2 linked regions of the Ovis aries genome follow. The protein of the gene in region 2 interacts with the protein of the main gene of each other region in a pairwise test. Links are inferred from orthologs where the notes say so. Each region holds a gene or a part of one and is shown on either strand. Other genes may lie near its edges.

What was found.
Region 1: the proteins of GCC1 (region 2) and CEP57 interact in binary tests that used the Homo sapiens proteins (3 or more experiments, as listed by UniProt). The two-hybrid records come from large-scale screens. The link is inferred for Ovis aries from reciprocal best matches to the Homo sapiens genes GCC1 and CEP57.

The regions. Positions count from the first base shown.
Region 1 is NC_056068.1:14,077,817-14,080,631, reverse strand, and holds the end of CEP57 (centrosomal protein of 57 kDa), read left to right. Parts: intron 1-910; coding exon 911-1,141; 3' UTR 1,142-2,106; downstream 2,107-2,815. UniProt on the Homo sapiens protein: Centrosomal protein which may be required for microtubule attachment to centrosomes. May act by forming ring-like structures around microtubules. Mediates nuclear translocation and mitogenic activity of the internalized growth factor FGF2, but that of FGF1.
Region 2 is NC_056057.1:93,527,634-93,532,241, reverse strand, and holds the start of GCC1 (GRIP and coiled-coil domain-containing protein 1), read left to right. Parts: upstream 1-1,681; 5' UTR 1,682-2,103; coding exon 2,104-3,135; intron 3,136-4,216; coding exon 4,217-4,608. UniProt on the Homo sapiens protein: Probably involved in maintaining Golgi structure.

The sequences.
Region 1 (2,815 bases), on a different chromosome or scaffold from region 2:
AATTGTTTGTTTTTTTGTTTTTTGTTTTTTTTTCATTTTATTTTTTTACTTTACAATACTGTCTTGGTTTTGCCATAATATTCTCACATCGGTGAGATTTATCCATCTGTTCGGCTGCACTGGGTCTTCGTTGCCTATGGCGGGTTGGTGCGTGGGCTTCTCGTGGTGGTGGCTTCTTTGGCGGAGCACAGGCTCTACTGTGGGCTTCAGTGGTTGCAGTGCTCAGGAGCTGTGGTACACGGGCTTAGTTGAAGACGTGGAATGTTCCAGGAACCAGGGATTGAACCTGTGTTCCCTGCACTGGCAGGCAGATTCTTAACCACTGGACTACCAGGGAAGTCCGTTTTCCATACATTAAATTTACCTTTTTCTAATTGAACACCACCAGCAATTTATTTTCGCCAACAGCTAAAGTGAAAATAAAGCTACCCCTTTGAAATTATTCTAAAAGAATGATAATAAAATTTAAAAATCCTTTTCATAGTACTAATATATAACCATTACATTCTATCTATCCAGAACATGCTTCTCTCTGCTCAGACTAGTTTCAAGAATACCTTTCTCCTACTCATTTATTTAAAATCCTTCTTGTCTTCCTTTACCCGTATGGGAGTTTTTTGCCTCCTCCTTGACTTCCTCCGAAACCTTCTTGGTTCTTACATACCCTGTTCTGCATTTGGCAGCATTATCTTAACTTCTGGTATAGCACCAGAATTGATGTTTTTCCTCTTGTTTACATGTTTTTATGTCCCTATACACTAGTACAGTAAGTTTTTGAAGGTTTAAAAACCAGGGGGGAAAATATATATATGCGTTTTCGTTGGTATGAGAGTTAAAAATACCAGTTTTTTCAAGCATATGTTTTTATTAATTTTTCCTTTTTCTTCCTTGCCTTGGTTTTTTGGCATAGCTGGAGAAACAAAAGTTGGAGAAGCAGAAGAAGGAGTTAAAAGCCACCAAAAAGACTCTTGATGAGGAAGGAAACAGCAGCAGCCGTTCTACAACCACAGGGACCACAAATAAGAAGGACTTTGCCAAACCGAGACCTGGAGAAAAAAGCAGGAAAAATCTTCAGTTATTGAAAGATATGCAATCCATACAGAATTCATTACAAAGCAATAGTTTGTGTTGGGATTACTGACTGGTACCAGGTCATAAATTTTATTCACATAATCTGTACCTCATCAATCAGATACTGACTTTCCAGGTCTCATGTTGGAATTAATTAATAGCAGGCATTTAGGGACCCAAGCTTCATTACACAGGCTTCTTGTGCTACATATCACAACTAAATGTTTAGCCATCTGAACAGAAACTGGGGGTAGTTTTAAAGGCCAAGAAGCCACACATACTCTGTTTCTTTGTTTGAGATGAATTTGCTGTACTGAGATATTGCACTTTGTAAACAAATTACCAATTTTTTACTTGTGGGTGTGATTTTTTTAATAGTTCTATTATATAAGTAAAATTAGGTTTAAATTATCGAAGTATGAGGCTATCCCATAGGCAGTGTTTGTTTGAAAAGTCTCATTTTTAAATCTTCCCTGGCATGAATCGCCTGCTTTTGCTTTTCAATACAACCATTAAATATGCTCCATTTCGACTACTGATGGAGGTTTTCGATATTTAAATATTTATACATATTTAAGAAGATAGCTTTATTTTGCTTTTTGACGTTACAGACATTGGTCAGTATTAAATACACTTGCATTGATGTTAATTCACCATTAAAAATTTTAAAGATGCATTCATTTTAAATCAGTTAAATGTGAAGATCACAAAAGCATTTTTAAAACTATAAACAAATTGTTAATGATGTAAATGAGGTTTTGGAATGAAGAGAGAAAGGGAGGTGTTGTAAAGTATATACATATGTATTTTCAGATAATACCTGTTTGTAATCATGCTATTCATTTCAAGGCATTATGGTTTTTAATCTTAAACTCAAAATCCCTTGATTATTTATTTGTGTACAGTATGAGTGCAGTATTAACTGTACACGTGATTGTCATTGTTAATAATGTGAATCATAGTTTTGAATAGTTCAAGACTTGTTAACTTTATAAATTTGACACTGAAATCAATAAAGCAGCTTTTTTAAGGAAACACTGAAATTTTCCTTAGCAGCCTGTTAATAAAGGCTTTATTTGTTGTAATCTCTCAAAAAAATACATTTTTAAATAGAACATTAACCTCTTACAAGAAACAATAAGAATATATGGTATTTAATACATAATTTGCCTTTTTCATGCTTACATAGAAACCAGATCCAAGAAAACTGAACTGTCTCACAGTATATAAGATACTCTTTGTTGTTGTTAAGTCTCTCAGTCACGTCTGACTCTTTGCAACCCCATGAACTGCAGCACGCCACGCTTCCCTGTCCTTCACTATCTCCCGAGTTTCCTCAAACTCATGTCCATCAAGTCAGTGATGCCATCCAACATCTCATCCTCTGTCGTCCCCTTTTCCTCCCGCTTTCAGTCTTCCCCAGCATCAGGGTCTTTTCTAATGAGTCTGCTCTTCACATCAGGTGGCCAAAGTATTGGAGTTTCAGCTTCAGTCCTTCCAATGAATATTCAGGACTGCTTTCCTTTAGGATGGACTGGTTGGATCTCCTTGCAGTCCAAGGGACTCTCAAGAGTCTCCTCCAGTCCCACAGTTCAAAAGCATCAATTCTTCGGCACTCAGCTTTCTTTATACTGGAAAAACCATAGCTTTGACTAGACAGAGCTTTGTTAGCTAATGTCTCTGCTTTTTAATATGCTGTCTAGGTTGGTCATAACTTTATTTCCAAGGAGCAAGCGTCTTAATT
Region 2 (4,608 bases):
TCTGTGAGTCATTTTCCATTTTGTAAGGAAGTTCATTTGTATCATTTCTTTTTAGATTCCACATATAAGGGATGCCATACGCTATTTCTCCTTCTCTTCACTCAGTATGACACTCTCTGGGTCCATCCATGTTGCTGCAAATGGCATTATTTCATCCTTTTTAATTAGCCTCTTTACATTCCTGTTATCATTGCTCTATTTCACTATCATTTGATCCCCATGACTGAAAATGGTCTTCTGCACTTTGGTATCTCCACCTTGTCATATAAGACTTGATGCCACTCTTGTGATGGAAATCCTTTAGTGTCTTATAACCAAAGGTAAAATCCAAATACCTTAATTTGGGTGCTCATCTATTGTGTCAGCAGTATCTGTTGCCAGCCCCTTTGCATACCCTAAGCTACTGCCTTGAAATGATTCTCAATGCTTCCCAGGTGAGACAAACTCTCTGATGCTCCAGAGTCCTTGCAAGTTTTCCCTCTGCCTAGAATGTTGTTTTGGAGAGGGCAATGGCACATCACTCTGGTACTCTTGCCTGGAAAATCCCATGGACGGAGGAGCCTGGTGGGCTGCAGTCCATGGGGTCGCCAAGAGTCAGACACGACTGAACGACTTCACTTTCACTTTTCACTTTCATGCACTGGAGAAGGAAATGGCAGCCCACTCCAGTGTTCTTGCCTGGAGAATCCCAGAGACGGGGGAGCCTGGTGGGCTGCCGTCTATGGGTCGCACAGAGTCGGACACGACTGAAGTGACTTAGCAGCAGTTAGCAGAATGTTGTTTCCCTCATTTCTAGTTAGATGGACAATCAGTACTTACTCTTCAAATTCCAACTCATTTCCCCTGAAAGCCTGCGCTGTTTCCCTTAGACAGGGCTCCCTCCTCTTAACTTCAGTATCACTTTGAATATACTTGTGTTTGCATGGCTGCTGCTTCTCTAGATGTGGGCTCCTTGAGGGTAGGAGCTTGTCCTTTCCTGGTGATCACCTGGCATAGCACTTGGTATGTTGAGAATCAGACCGATCTACATGGGATTCTAAACCCAAGGCTATGTGACCTTGGTGTATTACTTAACTTCTCTGTGCCTCACGTTGCACTATCTGTAAAATAGTGCTAATGATGCTCAGCAGATTAATTATAAAGACTAAATAGCAAAACTCTTGTGAAGCTTCTGAAATATAGGTGGCACTTAGAATGGACATGATGCCTATATATATTTATTTATATATATTTGTTAAATGAACCCAGCAGAACTCAGGAAAGGTGTAATAATAATTATACACCGTCTAGGTGTCAAATACTGTCCTAGAAAGGGTTGTCATCTTTGTGGTCTAAATGGTAGTCTTAACTGTTGCTCTTTAAGGACAACGGTACTGAGCACCCAAACAGTGGGGCCTGTCATTTACCCGAGTCTTTGGTAAGGGCTCATTACAATGTCGCCCCCGTCCCTCGCTGATCTTAGCGCTAGAGCAAGATCAGGCGCCTTCAGCAAACCAACATGACTCCGGTGTACTCGACTCTGCTTGCTCTGCTGTGGTGGAGAGGAACCAGCACTCGGCCGGAGAGTGACCAGTTCTCAGCCCTGCTGGGTTCTCTTCCCACCAGCCGGCTGAGGTAGCCCCGCCCACCTCGCGCCCACTGGGGGCGGGGCTCAATACGTCGCGCTCTCGTCACTTCCAGCAGACCCGGAAGCGCCGTTGTCCCAGCCGCTAGAGTTAGGAAGTCGGGATGGAGCTACGCTCATCTTAAACCTTTGGCCTGTAGTGCGCCGGGGCCGGGCCGGTGCTGCTGTGGCTGGGTGAGCGGGGAGCGCGGAGCGGCTTCTGGGGCAGTGCGGGCGAGCCCTGGCAGTGTGCCCTTCTTGTGCCAGCGTCGCCCCGCCTCTAGGATAGGACCCGCCCCCGCCCTCCTGTCTGGGACCTGGCAAGCGTTTCTGCCCTGCTGCCCCGCCGCCCTGCATCCGGTCTCAAACAGCTGCTTGGAGCGGATGTGCGGCAGAGGGGGACAGCTATCTCCCCGTCGCATACAACCCCTGCTAGCATCTTCGTGACGCTCTCCCAGCCTGTCCAAACCCTGGCCTGGAGCAACCCGTCCTGAACCCTCATGGAGAAGTTTGGAATGAATTTCGGGGGCGGCCCAAGCAAGAAGGACCTGCTGGAGACCATTGAGACTCAGAAGAAGCAGCTCCTCCAGTACCAAACTCGTCTCAAGGATGTAGTCCTTGCCTATAAAAGTCTGCTGAAGGAGAAAGAGGCGCTGGAGGCCAGCATTAAGGTACTGTCTGTATCCCACGAGGCGGATGTAGGCCTCGCAGGTGTGCAGCCTCAAGGCCTCACCTTTCCTGACTCTGTGGATGACCGATGCTCCACTCACAGCGAGGATAGCACAGGGACCGCCGCCAGCCTGGATACTGCGGCCAGTATCACCAGCACCAAGGGTGAGTTTGGGGTAGAAGATGACAGACTGGCCCGTGGACCACCTCCTCCAAAGTTGGAAGAGGCCAGCGGGTCAGAGAGTGGCGTTAGCAGTAGTAGTGGGGACGGACCATCTGGGGGTGGGGAGGTGGACAAACGACTGCACCAGCTGAAGACTCAGTTGGCTACTTTGACCAGCTCTTTGGCTACAGTCACCCAGGAGAAGTCCCGCATGGAAGCTTCTTACCTGGCGGACAAAAAGAAGATGAAGCAGGACTTAGAGGATGCCAGTAAGAAAGCAGAGGAGGAGAGGGGCCGGCTGGAGGGAGAACTGAAGGGGCTGCAGGAACAGATAGCAGAAACCAAAGCCCGGCTTATCACGCAGCAACATGATCGGGCCCAAGAGCAGAGCGACCATGCCTTGATGCTGCGTGAGCTCCAGAAACTGCTGCAGGAGGAGAGGGCCCAGCGCCAGGACTTGGAGCTTCGGTTGGAAGAGACTCGGGAAGCTCTGGCCGGGCGGGCCTATGCAGCCGGTCAGATGGAAGGGTTTGAACTGCAGACCAAGCAACTGACCCGTGAGGTGGAAGAGCTGAAAGGTGAGCTTCAGGCTCTTCGAGATGAGAAGAATCAGCCTGACCCCCGGCTGAAGGAGCTTCAAGAAGAGGCTGCCTGCCTCAAGAGCCATTTCCAGGCTCAGTTGCAGCAGGAAATGAGAAAGGTAATTATCTTCATCTCTTTCAAACATGAGTCATTTAACTTAAAGTGGCTTCTCAGGTGGCTCAGTGGTAAAGAATCCATCTGCCAATGGAAGAGATTCTGGAGATATGGGTTTGATCCCTGGGTCAGGAAGATCCCCTGGAGTAGGAAGTTGCAACCCACTCCAGTATTCTTGCCTGGAAAACCACATAGACAGAGGAGCCTGGTAGGCTACAGTCCATAAGGAAGTAAAGAGTCAGACACGAGTCAGCACACACCACTTGTGACACATGGGGAAATATTAGTGTTTTTTTTTTTTTTCTCCTTTGACAGAACTAAGTGCCTGCACTGTTGGTTTTTTATGCGCTTCGAAAAGTTTCACTTGTGGGTCCTGAGAAATCCTTTTCTGTGTGGTGTTGACAGTATCCACAGAGTGCTTCCAACAGGATGTGGAGTTTCTGAGTGTAGTCTGAAGTTGGAGCTAGACAGATCTGAGTGTCAGGGCATGGCATCTTCCCAGCTGTGCTCTGTGAAGCAGTGTAGCAGCGGCTGTGCAGTGGAAGGTGGAGTGGGGGCTTATGGCAGTATGCCTATCTATGGGTAGCAGTGGATGCCTGTAGGTAGGGTGGCTGGAGGGGACAAAGGGAATTTTCATAGAAGAAATCACCTCTTCTATTGCTTGCAGTCAATATTTGCCATGTCTGGAAAGATAGGCTATTTTCCAGTGCCTCCTTTCAGCGTGGGGAGAGATCCAAGCCAACTCTGAACTTCCAGGAATGTTGGAAGAGGAAAAGAATGTAATATGGTGAACAGCACACTTACACGTGAGCTTGGTGTATGGGTGGAGAGAGTAGAAACACTAAAGCAGAACAGTAGCAGATCTCCAAAGACTCTTAATATCATTGGGTATAATGTGTGTCTGAGAGCAAGTTACAGGAGCTTGGGTTAGCTCCCAAACTCAGAAAGCTTCCCAGTTCCCATTTTTTTCCAGGCCACCTGCATCCCATAACCTTTTTGTCCTCCCTCTCTTGCTTTCTTAAAGTTGACCCTCCGACCCTGTGGCTTTTCTGGATGCATCTCCACCTGTTCCCTTGTTTTTTCAGACAGCCCTCGCTGAGGATCAGCTGCGCCAGCAGTCTCAGTTGGAAGAGCAGAGGGTGGCGGCCCTGGAGAATCAAATATCCCAGGTGTCGGAATTGCTGGGCACCTACGAGAAAGCCAAGCAGAAGGACCAGCTGGCCATCCAGAAGCTGAAGGAGCGCATTCTGCAGCTGGACCTGGAGAACAAAACCCTGGCTCTAGCGGCCTCCAGCCGGTCCCCCCTGGACAGCCATGGAGAGGAGTCCAGTCTGGATGTCAACGTCCTGAAGGACAAGATGGAGAAGCTGAAGAGGCTGCTGCAGGTGGCGGCCAGGAAGAGCCAGGTGACCCTGGATGTGGAGAAGCTCTGCGACCTGGAGATAATGCCCAGCTCCGAGGCTGCTGATGGGGAGAA